Rattus norvegicus: one gene and its partners. The protein of the gene in region 5 interacts with the protein of the main gene of each other region in a biochemical or structural test. Links are inferred from orthologs where the notes say so. Each region holds a gene or a part of one and is shown on either strand. Other genes may lie near its edges.

Evidence for each region.
Region 1: the proteins of Bmpr2 (region 5) and Bmp4 form a complex in vitro, tested with the Homo sapiens proteins (2 studies listed by BioGRID). The link is inferred for Rattus norvegicus from reciprocal best matches to the Homo sapiens genes BMPR2 and BMP4.
Region 2: the proteins of Bmpr2 (region 5) and Gdf2 form a complex in vitro, tested with the Homo sapiens proteins (2 studies listed by BioGRID). The link is inferred for Rattus norvegicus from reciprocal best matches to the Homo sapiens genes BMPR2 and GDF2.
Region 3: the proteins of Bmpr2 (region 5) and Bmp2 form a complex in vitro, tested with the Homo sapiens proteins (4 studies listed by BioGRID and IntAct, with this or other methods). The link is inferred for Rattus norvegicus from reciprocal best matches to the Homo sapiens genes BMPR2 and BMP2.
Region 4: the proteins of Bmpr2 (region 5) and Gdf5 form a complex in vitro, tested with the Homo sapiens proteins (2 studies listed by BioGRID and IntAct, with this or other methods). The link is inferred for Rattus norvegicus from reciprocal best matches to the Homo sapiens genes BMPR2 and GDF5.

The regions. Positions count from the first base shown.
Region 1 is NC_086033.1:22,099,122-22,103,407, forward strand, and holds the start of Bmp4 (bone morphogenetic protein 4 precursor), read right to left. Parts: upstream 2,813-4,286; 5' UTR 2,807-2,812; coding exon of another isoform or gene 2,682-2,806; intron 1,633-2,681; 5' UTR 1,626-1,632; coding exon 1,253-1,625; intron 250-1,252; coding exon 1-249.
Region 2 is NC_086034.1:9,260,482-9,264,483, reverse strand, and holds the start of Gdf2 (growth/differentiation factor 2 precursor), read right to left. Parts: upstream 2,806-4,002; 5' UTR 2,689-2,805; coding exon 2,346-2,688; intron 1-2,345. UniProt on the Homo sapiens protein: Potent circulating inhibitor of angiogenesis. Signals through the type I activin receptor ACVRL1 but not other Alks. Signaling through SMAD1 in endothelial cells requires TGF-beta coreceptor endoglin/ENG.
Region 3 is NC_086021.1:141,264,117-141,268,335, forward strand, and holds the start of Bmp2 (bone morphogenetic protein 2 precursor), read left to right. Parts: upstream 1-1,407; 5' UTR 1,408-1,651; intron 1,652-2,703; 5' UTR 2,704-2,710; coding exon 2,711-3,053; intron 3,054-4,219. UniProt on the Homo sapiens protein: Growth factor of the TGF-beta superfamily that plays essential roles in many developmental processes, including cardiogenesis, neurogenesis, and osteogenesis. Induces cartilage and bone formation.
Region 4 is NC_086021.1:164,915,792-164,919,811, reverse strand, and holds the start of Gdf5 (growth/differentiation factor 5 preproprotein), read left to right. Parts: upstream 1-1,218; 5' UTR 1,219-1,456; coding exon 1,457-2,069; intron 2,070-4,017; coding exon 4,018-4,020. UniProt on the Homo sapiens protein: Growth factor involved in bone and cartilage formation. During cartilage development regulates differentiation of chondrogenic tissue through two pathways.
Region 5 is NC_086027.1:68,791,309-68,794,820, reverse strand, and holds part of Bmpr2 (bone morphogenetic protein receptor type-2 precursor), read right to left. Parts: intron 3,362-3,512; coding exon 2,082-3,361; intron 624-2,081; coding exon 373-623; 3' UTR 1-372. UniProt on the Homo sapiens protein: On ligand binding, forms a receptor complex consisting of two type II and two type I transmembrane serine/threonine kinases.

The DNA of each region.
Region 1 (4,286 bases), on a different chromosome or scaffold from region 5:
GATGGACTAGTCTGGTGTCCAGTAGTCGTGTGATGAGGTGTCCAGGCACCATTTCTGCTGGGGGCTTCATAACCTCATAAATGTTTATACGGTGGAAGCCCTGTTCCCAGTCAGGGCCCTGGTCCACCTGCTCCCGAAATAGCCGGAGCTCTGCAGAGGAGATCACCTCATTCTCTGGGATGCTGCTGAGGTTAAAGAAGAAACGAAAAGCAGAGCTCTCACTGGTCCCTGGGATGTTCTCCAGATGTTCTAGGCACAGTTGAAAAGGGAAAAGAAAAGGCCCATGAGCTTTTCTGAGACAAAAAAGAAAAAAGAAAAACAAAAAACAAACAAACAAACAAAATAGGGGAATTGGTTGAACTCTGCTTGTAGTGGAAACCTAAGGGGAGGAAATTACTGTGCCTTTTAATGGGAAGGCAGAGAAACGGGGCAGCCAGCAAACCAGCAGAACTCAGCTCACATTTGTCAAGCACCAAAGACAGAAAGTATCTCCCGAGCTCCTTTATATGCCTAATAATTTCCATGTGTCAACTCTTTTACTCCACCACCCTCGGACTCCCCTTTGAAAGCCCCCCTCTTGGCTTTGTGTACAGTTTTCTTTACAAGTGGTTGTAAAGAAAAAGAGGGGCCACCCTCTCTCTCTCTCTCCCTCTCCACTTTCGAGTATGTTACCAAACATTTCCCCAGCGATCCTGGAAACACAGAGCATGCCTTGTTGATCATGTTACAGAAGGGAAAATAAATTCCAACACAGTAATGATGCTGGAGGATTAATAACTCAGATTTACTTTGGAAAAGAAACATCCGCTAGGAAACATTCAGATCGTATTACAAGGCCCCTATTGAATAAATCTGACAAACACACAGCTGTAATATTAAATTCAGTAGGTGCTTTGAACAAAACGGGCAGAAACCCCGGCTTTGATATGGCTAAAGCACACCGCTGGGGCTAGCCCACGTCTGAGTGGTGTCACTCCGCTCCTCCTCAACATCGCCCCCCCTCCCCCATCACCACCACCACTGGTCTCCAGAAAGTACCTTCAGAGGCTGCGCTCTGGAAAGTTGAAGGTAAGTGGCCCTGTTCCACAGCCTCCAGGACTTGGAGCTTTGATGTAACCTGAACTCTTCTTCCCCAAGGGCTTCCACAGCCCCTTCAGCTTGCCCTGCCAGCTACCCCCCCCCCGCCCCCCTCCGCCGGGGCCCGGGCGCTCCACCCCACCCTACGCCGCCAGGACTAAGAGCAGAAACTGACCTTCGTGATGGAAACTCCTCACAGTGTTGGCTCTGCTGGCAGGACGCTCAGGGTACTCAAGCCCGGTTCCCTGGCTCTGCTCTTCTTCCTCCTCCTCCCCAGACTGGAGCCGGTAAAGATCCCTCATGTAATCCGGGATGACGGCGCTCTTGCTCGGCTGCGGACGGCGGCGCAGCCCAAACATCTGCAGAAGTGTCGCCTCGAAGTCCCGCAGGAGCTCATGGCTCTGCCCTGAGCGGCGTCCTCCCGCGTGGCCCTGAATCTCGGCGACTTTTTTCTTCCCGGTCTCAGGTATCAAACTAGCATGGCTCGCGCCTCCTAGCAGGACTTGGCATAATAAAACGACCATCAGCATTCGGTTACCAGGAATCATGGTGTCTCTGGGGAAGGGGAGGGGGTGGAAGGTTAAAGAATAAATAAATACCGATCAATAGCGAGAAATAGAGATGTCTCTGCATATGCATATAGGGATAGCAACCGACGGCCAAGATGTAAAACAGGTCCGAAAGATCAAGTTTGTGTTTTCTCCCTCACACCCTCCCCACACACACACACCAGCTGCAGCCATGCACGGCCCGAAAGTAAGAATCGCCCTGTAATTACTTGGTCTAACTTGTTTACACTCAAATAACCCCAAATCAGATAGCCTCCATCCTGTCCCAACGGCTATCTGAGCCATGATCTCAGCGTGGCTTCTTCAAGGATAAACAGTTAACATTGAGGGGGTAAAAGGGGGGTGGGGGAGGGAGAATTAAAATGGCATCGCTCTTCACTTCGGACCTTCAGCCTCCCCCTCTTCCTCCACCACAACCCCCCGCCCTTCCTCCTCCCTCCAGCCCAATTTCCACAACTTCCAGCTGGTTAAGAACAGGAGGAGGGGAGAACAGAGCAGCGACGACCGGGCTTGGACCAGGCAGCAAGGTCCAGTGGCTGGGAAAAAAAGTCAGGGGGGTTGCCCCAGTGACTTTGTGATTTATTTCATTGTGGTCGCTGCGTTGAAAATGTTCAGGAAAAAGTCTTGTTCCCAGGGAAGGGTAGGGGTGATTCCGAAGCGAACACGGGTAATTTTTTTTTTTTTTTTGACATGAGGCAAAGAACTGGCCTTCCCAGGCTAGTGGGACCGGACTGGGAAGGGAGTGGTTAGCCCTCAAGGGACAGCCCGGACCTGCGGACCTTTCATCTCTTTGGTCCTTCGCGTTCCCCACTTTCTTGCAACGCAGCGGATCAGAGAAGACAGTGGGAGCGCTTTAGAAGGACCCCGTACGCTTCGAGCGTCTGGCCTTCAGGGGCCAGGAAAGAGAGCGACAGCGCTGCCTGAGAGTGGGGCGCGGACATTGGAATGGAAGTCCGACGGGAGGGACAGACAGCGATCAGGGGTGGGAAGACAGAATGAAATCCCAAGAGGGGGAAAGAAGAGGTGTCTACTCACTGACAGAAAACAAGGCATATAATAACAGTCCATGATTCTTGGGAGCCAATCTTGAACAAACTTGCTGGAAAGGCTCAGAGAAGCTGCGGCAGTGCGTCGCTCGGAATGGCACTACGGAATGGCTCCTAAAATGAATATTTGAATATAATGAGACTCTGGAGCAGACAGGCTCTGTTTTTCTTCCAGCCCCTAGGAGTCACGTGGACCCAGAGGCCCCGCCCCACTCACCGAAGAGCCCGCCCGCCCCTCCTCCATCCTCCCACCCCGGCTGGGTCCAGCCCCTGCGAGCGAGGCCAACCTCCGCGCCCGCAGCTGGAGCCCCAGCCGTCTGGGAGTTGTCCCCGCCTGCTCGGAGGAGCTCTCGGCGGGACACCAGCCGCTGGCGGGGTTCTCCGTCGTAGTCACTGCACGCAGGGGACGTGGGGCACGTCTCTACCTGCGGCGCGCAGTGCAATGCATCTGGCCAGGTTCGGGGACCGGTTATCTGAAGGTTGAGGGATCAGGGTGCACTTGAAGACGCTTCTCTTTACAGCGCCGACACGGCTTAAGTGCAGCCGAGAGGGCGACCGAAAAGACAGTTCCTTCAAAGCCTCACGACCGAGAGTTACGAGAAAAGGAAAACGCGTAGGGACCCTCCAAGAGCGCGCGCACACACAGGCAAACACACTCGCACACTCCGGCACTTCCTCCACAGGGTCTCCGAGAGGCCAAATAATGCTTCCAGCGACAGGCGCCGACCCCTAGCGGATCTAACTCCCAGCCAGAAGACTCTGACCCCGTCGCCAACTCAGTCTGCCGCGGGGGTGTCAGGGTGTGAGCGGTGTGGGAAAGTCAGAAGGAGCGGCTTCTGAAGCACTGTCTAGTAGCCCCGCCAGAGTCCCCGCACCGTGTCTGCCAACCGCAGCGTCCGCTCCAGCCAAGCAGATCCTTCAGAAACCGGTCGGCGGTGCCATTCAAGGCGGAGGGGGTGGACGTCTGGGTTCCTAGCTCCAGACAGATTCCAAAACAGGCGTCGCCGAAGAGAGAGCGCGCATCACATTTTTTTTTTTTCAGATCTCAGAGTCGCAAAGGCTTTACAACTCCGACCCGGCGCGGAAAGGAAACCCCAGCGCGATCCCAAGCGTCTACAAACCCGAGAACAGCTTTCGGCCTGCACTCGACCTCTCCCTCCGGCTTGGCTTACTTTTTAAACCACCCCCACCCCCACCACCCCCCACCCCCGCGCGCGCCACTTCCTTCCCCCCACCCCTTTCCTCCTTTGCACCAGCTACAGAATCGCAGCAAAGATTCCTCCAAGAAATTCACCAACACACAACTCAGGCAATGACGGGGGCGGGGGCGGGGGGTGACCTGACTATCCCAAGATGCCACACACGTGGGCCTGTTCTAACCTCAGGAAGCGCAACTCTTCTGTTCAAGGAGGTCGTTGCGCGGGGTCCATCCGAGGAGGACCCGAGTCCCGGGACTCCCGCTCCAGAGCCCGCTCCACCCGGCCTCTTTGCCTCACTTAGGAACTCGACGTGTCCGGCTGCTTTCCAGCCTCACCGCCCCCCGCCCCAGTTTTCGGGACGGGGAAAGCTTTCGGGAAACCTTTGAGAAAGAAGT
Region 2 (4,002 bases), on a different chromosome or scaffold from region 5:
CATAGGAGACGTGTTCTGATACAACCACTGGATGCCCGGAGGTACAGGTAGTTCTAAGCCCTGCACACCGTGTTCCTTCTGTGTGCACGCACGCCCGTGCTGATGCAAAGTGTGTAAATCAGGCTCAGCCAGAGCTTAACCGAGAGTAAAGAAAATGGGAAGTTTAAAAAAATATACCCGTGACAAAAGTGACTTCGAAATTATGAGCTGTTTGTTTCTAGATGTACATTTAATAGACACAGTAGAACCTCAGAAATAGGCCTAGGCTCTCTCAGATGGGTCTATTGCATGGGGAAAGATAAGCAGAGACCCATGCTACTGAGATCTAGCGACTGGTCTGGAGAATAGAGGGGTCAACCTGATGGTCCCTCACTGGGGACTTGTATCCTTGGGAAATTTTTAGCCTTTTGTTGCCTCCGTTTCCTCTCTTGCACCACAGGGCCCTTCTCACCAGTTTATCAAGGTGGCTCATGAAGCTCGCAGGCCACTCACAAGCCAGCAGCTGATGCTTAGATGACACTTCTGTCCCCTCCAACCCCGTGCAAGCCCAGTGCATGTGACAAAGCATGGCGCCCTCACTCTGGCTACCTCCACAGTGGCTGTGGAACCACTCACTGCCAGACACCAGAAACCACACACCCACGGGCATTAGGCGAGTGTTTCCTAGGTCACACGTGAACGGTGTTGATGTTGCTGCTACTGAGTACACGGAGTTAATTGCGTCAATGACATACGTGGAGGGGGTTGGGATCTCTGGCTGGGCTCACATTCTGGCCTGTGGGATATGACGACTTAGGTCCCCAATTACAAAACAAAAACAAAACAAAACAAAACAAACAAACAAAAAAAAAAAACAACCAGCCTTTACCCTAGGTAGAGATCCTAGACAAACCCAGGGGCCTGGTGACCTATAAACTATATGCTTTTTTTTTTTTATTAACTTGAGTATTTCTTATATACATTTCGAATGTTATTCCCTTTCCTGGTTTCCGGGCAAACAGCCCCCTAATCCCTCCCCCTCCCCTTCTTTATGGGTGTTCCCCTCCCCACCCTCCCCCCATTGCCGCCCTCCCCCCAACAGTCTAGTTCACTGGGGGTTCAGTCTTAGCAGGACCCAGGGCTTCCCCTTCCACTGGTGCTCTTACTAGGATATTCATTGCTACCTATGAGGTCAGAGTCCAGGGTCAGTCCATGTATAGTCTTTAGGTAGTGGCTTAAACTATATGCTTTTAACGAAGCCATTAAACAGGAAGTTTCATGTTCCTCTGAAACTTCCTGTTGAGCAGCCAGAAAAGTTGGACAGATCTGGCCGGGCCTGGCTGTGGCCCTGAACTGGGACCCTTGGGCATTTGCAAATCTCTGGACAAGAAAGAGAGAAAGGACCTGGGCTCCGGGTCCTTCAGAGCAAGATGCCAAACAGAAGAAGGGGCGACTGGAGCTGGTTTTATGCAGGATGTAGGGACGGCAACGTGACCTCGCAGTGGGTGCCTGACCTGGGTTCCTCAGCCTTGGTGACCCTAGCTCTCTGTTCAGTAACTCATTCTACCCAGATTCTGTTGTTCTGTGACTTGCCAGTTATAGACCTCGCCTCCGTGTTTGCCTTCTAATCTTCCTAAATCATGGACACTTGGCAGGGAAAACGTATTGGACCGACACACTGCCTACTGCCCTGAGGAAGATTACACCCTGGACATAATGAGGGCCTCTTCTAGTCCTACTCTATTAACTTTTTAAAATCTGGGTCTAAAGTGCACTTTATAAGAGAGAACCCTTTCCTTTAAAGCTGAAAAAAAATACAAGTTTATTGAAGGCTAAATGAAGGATCTATTTCTAAGTCAGAAGAAGATGGGAAGGGAGAGAGGAAGATAGGAAGGGAAGAGGAAGAGAAGTCAAGTGGAAAGAAAAGGGAGGAGAGGGAAGAGGAGGCGTGAGAGAGGAGGGAGGGGAAGTGGGGGAGGACAGAAGGAGATCGAAGGAGACTGAAGCAAAAATCAGGGAAAGAAAAAGAAGGTGAGGAAGTGGACAGAGGGACGCAGAAACCTGGTATACTGGATACGGGGTTAACCGTGGATATGATTCTGGGGAGGAGCCAGGCTGTGCACCGGACCCTTTAGTGTTGATGGACAGGACCCATGATTCGCACTGCCTTGTGGGGAAGCCATTAGCCACACGCGAATGATGAACAGGAAACTCGTATTTTCTCCCTATTTCACCAAGGGTCACTTCAATAGAAACCTGAAGATCCGCTTGTGGTCAGTGGCCATCCCACCCGGCAGAGCCACTGCACTGTGGGGGGCAGGGCGCACTATGTCCCACCCCATGGAAGTCCGGGGAAAGCACTGTACCTTCCACGCTGAAGCTCCGCACGATGTTGGAGGCAGGCGTGGACGACTTGTCCGTAGTGTATCTGTTGTACAAGTCGATCATGTACTGGGGTGGCTCCGCTCTGGTTTTGTCCTGAGAGGGAATGCCACTCAGGTTAAGGCTGCGCAGGAAGTCCACTTTCATGTTCTCCAGAAACATCTTCAGGTCAAAGACGCCCTCCTCTCTGCTTCCAGACAATCCCAGGGAGCTGCGGGCATTTCCCCCAGGGGATGCCTGCCCCCAGCTCTGCAGCGGCTTCTGCTGCGTGGGACAGACCAGCAGGAGCAGCGTGAGCAGGACCACCCGGAAGGCCCCAGGGGACATCTTGGGCCCTAAAGGGGGACTGCCCTGCAGGCCGTTGTGTTGTATCACTAGGTGCAATGGGGAGCCCAGGAGGAACAGGCCCACATTGTCCTGTTGACTGCTCAGCAGGGAGCCTGGCTGGCTCAGTTCTCCCCAACAGCCCGACAATCTCCCACTCTACTTATCTGGGTGTGGATGCTATGCTCAGACCTCTTATCTAAGGCAGCTCTCTTTAATGAAGGCTGTATAAACATCTGACAAGCACCAGGGGCTGGTGGGAAGGATCCTGACTACTGTAAAGGATCGACATTTCTCCGGAGGGTCATCCACCCTAATTAGGATCTTTGTCCATTTCCTTGCTGGCTTGGTTCAGAAAACTCCAGGCAGGGTACACAGACCTTCTCTGCTGGACCACAGAAACAAAGAATTCAGAAAATGAGGCTGGGAAGTTCCCTAAATATAGAAAGCTCACCAAGTACCCAGAAGATGACACGAGCTGTGGGGGTCAGGAAGGTGGGGAGGTGTGGGAGATTGCATCAGGGGTAGGCGAAGTCTGGTCCTTACGGTATCCTTACGGGACCCGGCAGTGTATCTGGGCGCTGCCCTCTGAGGGAAGAGCTCCTGAGTATTGAGAATGGAGTGTGGACGGGCCCAGGGCATTCTGTGGACAGGCAAAACAGATGATAGCTCCTGTTCCCACTGTTCCTCCACGCTGTGGCCTGGGCCCTTTGAGCTTCCTTTTAGAAGATGCGTTTGCCTACATGTAGGCCACTTCCAGCTCCTGACAGTGGGTGGTCATGTTCAAGCCACCCTCCAGTGCTGGCTCTGACTGTGCTGGGGGAGGAAGCTGGCTGCTCATTAGTCCCACAAACACATGTATCTGAGGCTCTGAGCTCCATCCCTGACCCTGCTCTGTATGGTGCTGGTGCATGCAAGTATACAAGTGTAGAAGTGTGTATGTGTGTGTGAGTGTGTGTGTGAGTGTGTGTGTGAGTATGTGTGTGAGTGTGTGTGAGTGTGTGTGAGTATGTGTATGTGTGTGTATGTGAGTGTGTGTATATGTGTATGTGTGTGAGTGTGTATGTGTGTATGTGTGTGTGAATGTGAGTGTGTGTGCGCGTATGTGTATGTGTGTGAGTGTGTGTGTGTGTATGTGTATGTGTGTGTATGTGTGTGTGTGAGTGTGTGTGAGTATGTGTATGTGTGTATGTGTATGTGTGTGTGAGTGTGTGTATATGTGTGTGTATGTGTGTGAGTGTGTATGTGTGTATGTGTGTGAGTGTGTGTGCGTATGTGTATGTGTGTGTATGTGTGTGTGAGTGTGTATGTGTGCGT
Region 3 (4,219 bases), on a different chromosome or scaffold from region 5:
TTGACTATATATGCACATGGGCGCATATAAATGTATGAATATTTATAAAATGTAATAATACACTCGAATGTGTATTGGCTATTTCTTGACATTTTCTTCTCACCATTCAAAACAGAGAAGCGTTTGCTCACATCTTTGCCAACATGTCTGATAACTTCTAGGTTCTTCTTTTTAATGTGATCTTACCTAAAAACTTCAAACTCAAGTTGAATATTGGCCCAGTGGGGGAACTCAGAGGCAAGCCTACCCTGAATTTGCCCTAAACTCGGGCATCTGGGGCACGAATCCTGGTCCCGGGGGTCTGCTTTACACTCAGCCGGGACGCGACCCCTTAGCGGCCGCGCGCTCGCCCCGCCCCGCCCCGCCGCGGCCGCCCCTCAGGGCGCGCCGTCCACACCCCTGCGCGCTGCTCCCGCCCGCCCGGGGATCCCCAGCGCGCTGCGCCTCCGAGGGGGAGGTGTTCGGCCACGGCCGGGAGGGAGCCGGCAGGCGGCGTCTCCTTTAAAAGCCGCGAGCGCCGCGCCACGGCGCCTCCGTCGTCGCCGCCGGAGTCCTCGCCCTGCCGCGCAGAGCCCGGCTCGCACTGCGCCCGCCGCTGCGCTTCCCACAGCCCGCCCGGGATTGGCAGCTCGGGACGAAGCCTCCCTAGCCCACACCGGCCATCGGACGCCCTCAGGGCGAGCGACGCGAGGGTCACCCGGGGCTTCGAGGGGCCGGCACGACACCGGTTGGAGCTGCGAACTGTGCGCGCCCGGCTCTGTGGCCTCAGCTGTCCGGGAGAAGCCAGAGTCGCGGACCGACGCTAAGAGCCGGGAGTCCGGAGCACAGTCTTACCCTCAACGCTGGGCTACTCCGACACGAGAGTGAGCGCCCGAGGCGAGCAGGAAGAGTGATCGGACCCCAGGCTGCCACAAAAGACACTTGGCCCGAGGGCTCGGAGCGTGAGGTCACCCGGTTTGGCAGCCGGGGACGCGCGGCTGGACTGTCTCGAGAATGAGCCCCAGGACGCCGGGACGCCGCAGCCGTGCGGGTTCCGCTGGCGAGCGCTGATGGGGGTGCGCCAGAGTCAGGCTGAGGGATGCGGAGTGGCGGCCCGCCCGCCACCCAGATCTTCGCTGCGCCCTTGCCGGGACCCGGCGTCGCCCACGATGGCTGCCCCGAGCCATGGGTCGCGGCCCAGCTAACGCAGAACGTCCGACCCTCGCCCGGCGAGTCCCGGAGCCGGCCCCGCGCCCCGCCAGCGCTGGTCCCTGAGGAAGACGACAGCAGCAGCCTTGCCTCAGCCTTCCCTCCCCGTCCCTGCCCCGCACTCCTCCCCCTGCTTGAGGCTGTGTGTCAGCACTTGGCTGGAGACTTCTTGAACTTGTCGGGAGAGTGACTTGGGCTCCCCACTTCGCGCCGGTGTCCTCGCCCGGCGGATCCAGTCTTGCCGCCGCCTCCAGCCCGGTCACCTCTCTGTTCCTTGGCCGGCTGGGCCCACCCCAAGACACGGTTCCCTTCGGGGAGAACACCCGGAGAAGGAGGAGGTGAAGAAAGGCAACAGAAGCCCAGTCGCTGCTCCAGGTCCCTCGGACAGAGCTTTTTCCATGTGGAGACTCTCTCAATGGACGTGCCCCCTAGTGCTTCTTAGACGGACTGCGGTCTCCTAAAGGTAGAGGACACGGGCCCGGACCCAGGGCTGGCGGGTGACACCGCTTCCCGCCCGGCGGCGCTGGGCGCCTCGGAGGACCGGTGGAGTGGACGTAAACATACCCTCTCCCGGTGCACGTGCAGCGAGCGGATCCCTAGAGGGGTCAGGCACTCTGAACCCCAGATCCCTCTGTCTTGCCCACCTGGTCTGCGACCTCCTTTCAGCCCGTTCCTCCTCCCCAGTTTTAAATACATTATCAGGGCTGTTTTGGGCTTTACCCCCTCCTCCGCCCCCAAATTGCAGAAATCCATTTAGAGAGTATGGCCGGTGGATTTCACTAGTTCATTGCCCACCAGCACTCCAAGCCTTAGAGATCCTTCGCTATCCTTAAGAACTAGGTCCCATTTAGGAAGCTACTAAAAGTCGGGGTTCTTTTTGTGTGTGTTTACTGACTGTGCGGATGTGTCACAGCTTACACGTGCATTTATAGACACTATCTATTTAGGTCATTGCAGAAAGGTGCATGGATTTCTTGACTGCACAGGGGTCTGGAGAAGGGGACAGAGTGGCCTGTGGGTCAACCTTGAAGTTAGGGGCGTAGGCCACGACTTGCAAGTGGCGTCATTAGTATTAATCTTTAGTTTACCGCTTTCTGAATCTACAATCTACCAGGAAGTTCTATACGGCGCCTCTAAGGAAGTCACTTGTGCATTTGTGTCTGTTTATGTGCAAATGAACGCTGTGCAGTATAGTTGTAAGGGATGCAGTGTCCGAACAATCTATGGGTTCCCAGCTTCCTGACACAGGCTTTACTAGCTAGTGTCACAAGAAAAGGTGACAGACAGTCATTGATTTTTCTTTTTTAAATTGGGAGTTAAGACCAAGCCCCAAGTGAGAAGTCCGGCTGGGACTTAGGGGTTCTTCATCCTCTTGATCATCCAGGCTGTAGCTTGGATGACATGCCAGGAGGGCATCCTGGAGAAGGCCAGCGAGCCCTGTGGGAGCCGGGGCCGCGGGGGCGGGCGGAGGACTGGGCGGGGAACGTGGGTGACTCACGTCGGCCCTGTCCGCAGGTCGACCATGGTGGCCGGGACCCGCTGTCTTCTAGTGTTGCTGCTTCCCCAGGTCCTCCTGGGCGGCGCGGCCGGCCTCATTCCGGAGCTGGGCCGCAAGAAGTTCGCCGGGGCATCCGGCCGCCCCTTGTCCCGGCCTTCGGACGACGTCCTCAGCGAGTTTGAGTTGAGGCTGCTCAGCATGTTTGGCCTGAAGCAGAGACCCACCCCCAGCAAGGACGTCGTGGTGCCCCCCTATATGCTCGACCTGTACCGCCGGCACTCGGGCCAGCCAGGAGCGCCCGCCCCAGACCACCGGCTGGAGAGGGCAGCCAGCCGCGCCAACACCGTGCGCAGCTTCCATCACGAAGGTGAGCGGGCGGCGGGTGGCGGGGCGGGGACAGCGGGCGGAGACTCAGTGGGCAGCCCGGGCCTCCGCTAGCACAGTGGACGGTCCTTCGGCTTCTGTACCGTCCCCTCTGTGGCCCCGAGCCAGGGATTCCCCACTGGTGAGTCCGCACCCTTTTCCTGGCAGGTGGCCAGCAGACAGACTCCTCCCCACTAGAACTGGAGGGAAATCGAGTGATGGGGAAGAGGGTGAGAGACTGGCTAGCCCCTTGTCAGCTCATTGTGGGAGAATTTCACAGAAGGCAGGGAGTTGGGGCTCCTTAAATCTGTGTGGAAGCTCAGATCTGTGGCTTGTGTTCAGGCTGGAGTTTTAAGCTAGGCAGAGGTAGTATTAACAAATCAAATCCAGGGCCCCAAAGCATTCAAATTTGCTGTTCATCTGGGCCTCGTTTGAAAGATTTTTGAATCCCTATCTAATCCCCGTGGGAGATCAATTCCACAATCCATCATACTGTTTCCCCAATGACCTTCCTTTCTCCTGCTTAACTCTTAAGTCTCCAAGTGGAGACAGGTCAAGCCTTCAGATAAAAGCATTTTCTCCCACTGCCTGCTACCTTCCTAGACAAGGTAATGGAATTTTTAAAAAAATACGATATGAGTATGGTTTCCCAAGGTAGAGTAATGTTTATTTCTTCGGAAGGAGATTTAGTGGGTAAGACATGCTGTAGAGGCCTATTGAAGTCTCTTGTGCCAATGTCCTTATAGCAGTTAGTAAAAATAATAATAATAATAATAATAATAATAATAATAATAATAATAATAATCGTGCCTCAGTTCAATTCCGTGTGTGTCACTTTAAATGTGCTTTTGGTTTAATGCAATCTCAATAGGATATCAGTTCCTTCAAGTTCTAGAAGAATTCAGAGTTGTCTGTCAGTGAGCTGCAATTTATAGAACAATGGGGAGCTAGGAGAGAAGTTCCCTTTTTAAAGCTTCGCTTTGCCTTTCTTGAGAGGATACATTTTAAGTAGAAATCTATGCTCTGAAATGGCAGCCCAACCCCCATCCCCAATAAGGGATGACTCAAACTTTGAGAAGTCTGGTTGATAATAGGAAAAAGAGCCACCGGCAGGTCACATAGCAAGGGGTGTATCTTCCTTGAGGCAGCCAATGGTTATGAAGGGCACTA
Region 4 (4,020 bases), on a different chromosome or scaffold from region 5:
GAATCTGAGGCCATCGTGAGTTACCTGAGACATTATCTAAAGAAGAAAAGGAAGAGAGGGAGAGGGGACTCTCTTCAGTTAAGCAGGTATTCAATTCTTCACCAGCTCCTAGAAAAACAACCCCCGGAGAACTTGTTTTTCCAACTTCCTGCAGGGGTCGCTGCTGCCTTAGGCTGGGGCTGCCACCTCGGGCCTCAGCCAATTTCTAAGAAAACTGGCGGTCTTTGCTTGGGTAGTGGCTGAGGTACGCACACCCTGGACCTGTTTCCAGCCAAGGGGGCTACAGGATGGCAGTGCTCAGCCAATGGCATTTGGTGGGGGTGGTATAGTGGGCAATGACTTTTTTTTTCCTGTTTTTTGGGTCACAAGTTTATCAAAATAAAAGAAAGTGTGGGTAAACGCTGCCATCTGTGCTGTCCTCAACACACGCACACACATGTGCACACACACATATATACACACACACACACCCTACACACCACACTCCACACCACACACACACACACACCCCACACACACCCCACACTCTACACCACACACACACACACACACACACACACACACACACCCGAGGTCCCAGATGAGACAGAGAGATTGAAATTGCTTTACAGACACTCCAAGGACTTCACTGAAAACCTACCTCGCATGTTTAGTCCCTGCAGGTCTCTGCACTCGCTCTTCAATCTCTCCACTCAGGATGGTGGGGTGAGCTGCTCCAGGAGGTGGAGGTGAAGACCCCTGAGTCTACTCTGGGATGGGGAGGCCCCCTAAGCCTGAGTCCTGCTATGGGGCTCTGAGCCAAGAGCCCCCATGAGCCATGGCCTCCAAAGGGCAGCGGTGATTTTTTTCACATAAATATATCGCACTTAAATGAATTTAGACAGCATGACATCAGAGAGTAATTAAATTGGTTTGGGTTGGAATTCCGTTTCCAATTCCTGAGTTCAGGTTTGTAAAAGATTTTTCTGAGCACCTGCAGGTTTGTGTGTGTGTGTGTGTGTGTGTGTGTGTGTGTGTGTGTAAGTATTTTCACTGGAAAGGATTCAAAATTAGAGGGAAAAAAAACTGGAGCGCACAGGCAGCATTACGCCATTCTTCCTTCTTGGAAAAATCCCTCAGCCTTATACAAGCCTCCTTCAAGCCCTCAGTCAGTTGTGCGGGAGAAAGGGGGCGGTCGGCTTTCTCCTTTCAAGAACGAGTTATTTTCAGCTGCTGACTGGAGACGGTGCACGTCTGGACACGGGAGCATTTCCACTATGGGACTGGATACAGACACACGCCCGGCGGACTTCAAGACGCTCACTCTGAGGAGAAAGCCCTGCCTGCCGCTGCTGCTACTGCTGCCACCGCTGCCTCTGAAGACCCACTCCTTTCATGGTTTTTCCTGCCAAGCCAGAGACACCTTCGCTGCTGCTGCTGCCTTTCTCTGTGGTGTCATTCAGCGGCTGGCCAGAGGATGAGACTCCCCAAACTCCTCACTTTGTTGCTTTGGCACCTGGCGTGGCTGGACCTGGGACTCGTCTGCACTGTGTTGGGTGCCCCTGACTTAGGCCAGAGACCCCCAGGGGCCAGGCCAGGGTTGGCCAAGGCGGAGGCCAAGGAGAGGCCACCTCTGACTCGGAATATCTTTAGGCCAGGGGGTCACAGCTATGGTGTGGGGGCCACCAGTGCCAGGGCAAAGGGAAGCTCTGGGCAGACACAGGCCAAGAAGGATGAACCCAGAAAGGTGCCCCCCAGAGCCAGTGGCTCTGAAACCAAGCCAGGACCCTCTCCCCAGACTAGGCAGGCTGCAGCCCGGACTGTAACCCCAAAAGGACAGCTTTCTGGGGGCAAAGCATCTGCAAAAGCAGGATCTGCCCCCAGCTCCTTCTTGCTGAAGAAGACCAGAGAGCCTGGGACCCCTCGAGAGCCTAAGGAGCCATTCCGCCCGCCCCCCATCACACCCCACGAATATATGCTCTCGCTGTACAGGACGCTGTCCGATGCTGACAGAAAGGGAGGCAACAGCAGCGTGAAGCTGGAGGCTGGCCTGGCCAACACCATCACCAGCTTTATTGACAAAGGGCAAGGTGAGGGGGTGGGGTGGCAGGGAGGGGCATTTGCACAGACCTAGAAGTTCCAAAGTCTTGGAGTATGCAGGTGGGGGACAGTGTGTGTACCCAGCCTAGGGTGGGAATCTGGAACTTATCGTACCTAGGGACCTTGGAGTTCAACTTCTGCAAGGTGCAGAATGGACTCTAAAATGCAGAGAGGAGCTAAGATCTGCTACTTGGACACTAGACTCCAAGACCCATTCTTGATTACTGAGAGGTACTCTGTACCCCCGTGGGTTGGTAAAGTCTCTAAGCTTCGGTTTTTCTCAGAGAGCAGAGAGAAGGAAACTTTAGGTCCCCATGGTTCTTCAACTTTACCCTCAGATAGGGGTAGAGGGAGCAGGCTATGTGAGGACAGAAAACTTGTCATCTTGGAGTCACAGAGAGAGGCAGCTGGCTGAGGGCACACGGAGTCCCTTCTTCCCTGGGGTCTCTTCTTATAGGTATACTACACGGGCATTGGACGGGGTGACAGCTGAGCATTCTGAGTGGGAATCAGTAACCTGGGAGAGTACTTGTCTTTCTTGCGTCGCCGGAGGTCTGCCCACCTAGTGTTTCAGGCTCTTCCTCTCAACTTGCTGTGTGTTCTCAGCAAATCTCTTCCCTTCTGAGTCTCAGGTTCTCCACAGTGTGGAGATAGTTGGGCCGGTGGCTGGCAGTTGGTGAGGTTTCTTGCGGGTTCACAGGCTCTGGTGCTGAGTCTCGGGACTTTGGCTGGCAGGGTGGGGGAGGGGCCAGAGAGTGGGAGAGGCTTCTCATTAGAGTTGGTCTGTAGGGGAATGACAAGGGGGTGGGGGAGGTACAGAGGCAGCAGGTCTGGCAGAGGTGGGGGAGGTGGCCTGGCTGCCTGCCCAGCCAGGGAAAGCTGTGACCCCTCGAGGGCTCATAAAATAAGTCCTTGTGTCCCCCCCCAGCACTAAGGGAGAGAGGGGAGGGGGAGATGGGGAGTTTAAAGGCCTAATTAGTTACCTTCTAGAGCAATATTTGAATGTTCCCTAATGGCATATTGGCATTTAGGAAGGAGGGCATGCTGATTCAGAGATTACACACACACACACACACACACACACACACACACACACACACACATACACCCTTATATTTTATACACTCAGTAAATGAATCATATACATACACACATACATATATAGCATCATTTTCAAGTATTCATACAATCCCAACTCTACTTACATATGCCAGTAGCATATATATATATATACACATATATATATATCCATCCTTATACTTACTCATGAACCCAATTGCACACACACACACACACACACACACACACACACACACCCACACCTGGAACACTCATATACCAAAAAAATCATGAAATTGGGAACTTGGGAAGTTGAGTTTGCAGATCGGCTTTGTTACTGATTTGCTGTGTTACCCACGTCAGTTTCCTCCCCAACTCTGTGTCTTGCCCATAGCAAGAACGCTAACATCATTAAGGTATGAGAAGCTCAGAATGGACTATTCAAATTCTAGGCTACAGTTTTACTTCTCTATTTTTCCCCTAGCTAGATGACATTGAATAAGCCCCTAATTTACTCTGCGCTTCAGTTTTCTCCTCTGGAAAAGTGGGTAAGACAGGTACACACCTCCTGTCTTATTTACAGGAGATAATCATGCTGGATCATGGATGGGGCGGACACTGGTAGAAGACAGTTATAAGGCCAATGACTCTAATACACATGGGCACAAACATCAGGGGCACTCAGATAATACGCAGCCTCATACCTACCTTCATTGGGAAAAGGGCTCTTGGTGGTTTGTGTGTTGGCTTCAGCCATAGTGGGGAAGAGGTTAGAGAAACCTCTTTTGATTGGGAGAGAGCTAGGTCCTCTCTGGAGACCCAGAGGTGGCGGGCTCTCTTGGTGAAGTGACAGAATTGACTTCTGACTGTTTTCTCTAGATG
Region 5 (3,512 bases):
TTGCTTCTGTTTTAATGACCTTTAGAAAATGGTCCAAACTGATTATCAGCAATACATTGTTTTTGCTTTTTTTCTTAAAAAAAATATTTTGAGACCACTTTTGATAAGCACACATATAATGTGGTCATAACAGACAAATAGAACTTTAGCAAGACTAAACAAAAGTGCAAAACTTAAAAAACAAAATTAAAAAATATGGAAGCATAAGCTAAAGTTTTCTGCATAGCTGAAATCTATTTAAAGCAAGTCCTTGCTGCAGGGGTGGGAAGGGGTGCTGACAGGAGGTTAAAGCAGTTTTTTTTTTTTTAAAATGTCTTCTGCATGTTTAAATGATGCAAAAAAATAATTTCACTCCATAAGCTTGAAAACATCTCACAGACAATTCATTCCTATATCTTTAGACACCATGGTTGTGGCAGTGCCTCCCTCTGCGAGGTACACAGCAGTGCTAGATTTAGAATGGACTGCCCTGTCACTGCCATTGTTGTTGACCTCACAGTCCAGTGGCTCGGTGGAGATGACCCAGGTGGATGGGCGCCACCGCTTAAGAGAGTATGGAGTTTTCACACGTCTCTTGATCTTTTCGCCTGATCCTGATTTGCCATCCTGCGTTGACTCACCTACTGGAAACAAAAGGAAATGAGCTGTGTAAAAGGAAAATATTTTTTTTTTAATTCTTTTTTTTCGGAGCTGGGGACCGAACCCAGGGCCTTGCGCTTGCTAGGCAAGTGCTCTGCCACTGAGCTAAATCCCCAACCCCGAAAATATTTAAAAGTAGAGGAGTTCGTTGGGCATATAATGCAGCTGATGGAGTGCTTGCCTAGAATGCAAAGGGTCCTGAGCTCCAACTCAGCAGCACAAGAGCCCCCCAGTCCTGGTGCATATGGCAGTCACAGCACCTTGGAAGTAGAAGCAAGAGGGTCAGAGGCTCAAGATCCTCCGCACAAGGCCTGCCTGAGCTGTGTAAGACGCTATCAGCAAAACCAAACAAAACTAAGCTGGATGGAGAACAAGGGGCTGAATTTCACAAACAGGTCAAGCCAGCATAGAGTCCAATGAAGGACATTTCTTGAATATGTGATGATTCTAGGTGATGTTTCTCTAGGCAAAATTCAACCAACTCAGTTTTGAGTCTTATCTAAAAAAATAATTAAAACTCACAAGAACTAAGAAAATTCAAAATTCTTCATTATATTCTCAAATTCTTTTGTTCTGGTGTAGACTCCAACTTGCTTAAAAACAGGTATCATTTGACTTAATGCTGACAGCAGGGCTAGCTGTGAGTGGGTGATGTACTCCTGTAATCCAAGTTCCTAGAATCCAAGGAGAAGGATACTGACTTCAAGTCCAGCCTCTGGCCACAGTGAGTTACTGAATGAGTCCTTGTCTCAAAAAGACAAAGCAAAACAATGTCCAAATGACCAAATCATACGGTCTCTAACACGTAACAGTTTTGGAGGGATGACCATTATCCCATTAATTCTGTTTTCATACTTGACAAGAAGCTTTATGGATACAGAAGCACGAAAGTTGAGTCAACTAGCTTGTAATATAAACCACTTAAGCAAAGAGCCAGGTTTTCTTTTCTTTGTGGTTCTGGAACTAAAACCTAGGTCTTATGTATTATGGGCAGGTGCTCTACCTATGAGCTACACCTCCAGGCAAGGGGTAGATAATTTGCTATTCGGAGACCTTCTTTCAGTCCACTCTTTAGTTTAAGAAAGCATAAAACACATAAAAGAAGTCTCTTGACTTCTACAATTTATTAAGATCTGGGTGTGTTGGCACACTCCTAATCTCAGCACTTCGGGAATTTAAGACCAGCCTGGTCTATAAAGTAATTTTTCCAACCCCTTAATACAAACACACACACAGACACACACACACACACACAGACACACAGACACACACACACACACACACACACACACACACTTACTCTGTATACTGCACACACACACACTCTTACTCTGTAAACTGCACACATACACACACACATTTACTCTGTATACTGTACACACATGCACACACACACACACACACACACACACACACACACACACACACACACACACACTTACTCTGCATGCTGCTGCCATCCAGGATATTTGTGGCTGAAAGATCCAGAGAATTGGGCCTCTGTGCTCTTCTGGGCTTTGCTGGCCCAGGGTCTGCAGCTGTGCTTGTAACACCTTGTGTAGGGACATCTTGTTCTGAACATGGATTGCTGTTGTTGTTATTGGAATTAGTTCGGCCACCTTCTAATGGCCGTTCCCTCCTGTCTACCAAACGATCCAGAACCCCTTCATCATGGCCAGCCTGCTGCTCTCGTCTCAGTAAAGGTTCATGTTCATCAGGACTGGAATTGATATTCAGTCTGGTATCCTCACCATTAAATTGATTCTGCAGCATTTCTTGGGCCCTATGTGCCACTATGTTGGCTGCCTGGCCAGATGGCACTACCCCATTGGCATACTGGGTTGTGGCAGCATGGGAATTAACATTGTGGCTTCTACCTGCCACACCATTCATAGTTACTGTCACCACATGAGGCTCTGCTGCATTGATTGTATTCATCTTGGCAACTCCAGTTTCTACTTGTTTCAAGTTTGATTTGTGCTTGTTGCCAAATTTTAGCCGGGGTTCTTTAGTTGAATTTTTGGTGTTCAAAGGCAAACTAGTAGGTCTCTTCGGAAGGTTCTGTTGCTTAGGGAGAGGATAGAGCTGAGCAGGTGGGACATCAGGAATTAAACATGCTTGCCCATTTGCAGCCTGTGTGAAGTCCTGTTGTCCAGTCACTTCCACCGCAAGCTTTATGAGTGGATAAAGCAAGCTGGAACTGGTACTGCTCAACGGGTCTGGCCCACTGAACTGCTTCAGAGAATGCTCCATGAGATTCTCATCAGAGCTTTCCTTGAGGTTCTTATCAACTTCTTTTGGGTCTAGCTTATTAGTTTCCAAGTCTTCTTCTGTCAGCTGTAAGCAGACAGGGGTTGGCCCGAGTGACTGTGCAACATTTGTGGCATGCAAATGTGTCTCATCTGGGTATGGCATCTCAGATATCGTGGTCATGCCAGTACTTGGAGTGAGGCCAGAGGTGTTTGTGGTGGTTGTGTTTGTGGACAGGCTTGTGACGCTTGTTTCTGGGCTAGGGATTCGAGCTTGTGCTTGCTGTCGTTCATAATTAATTGAGTTTCGGTTCTTTTCTCCTATTGTCAACGGTGTGCTGGACATTGAATGCTCAGAGGAAATATTTTTCACAATGCTGTCAGTGTGATGAATTGAGTCTTCAATATATGAGGAAGAGGAATAATCTGGGTAAGGCCCGATTTTTGGCACACGCCTATTATGTGATAGGTTGCTTGAAGAGAGAGAAAAACGTAGACATTGAGAACACAAACTTAATAACAAACTGTCATCTATTCCCAGCAAACACTACTGATTCCAAAGCCCCACTGCTTTTCATTTTATGCTTTACAGTCTTTTTATTGCTTTTTTTAGTTGAATGTATA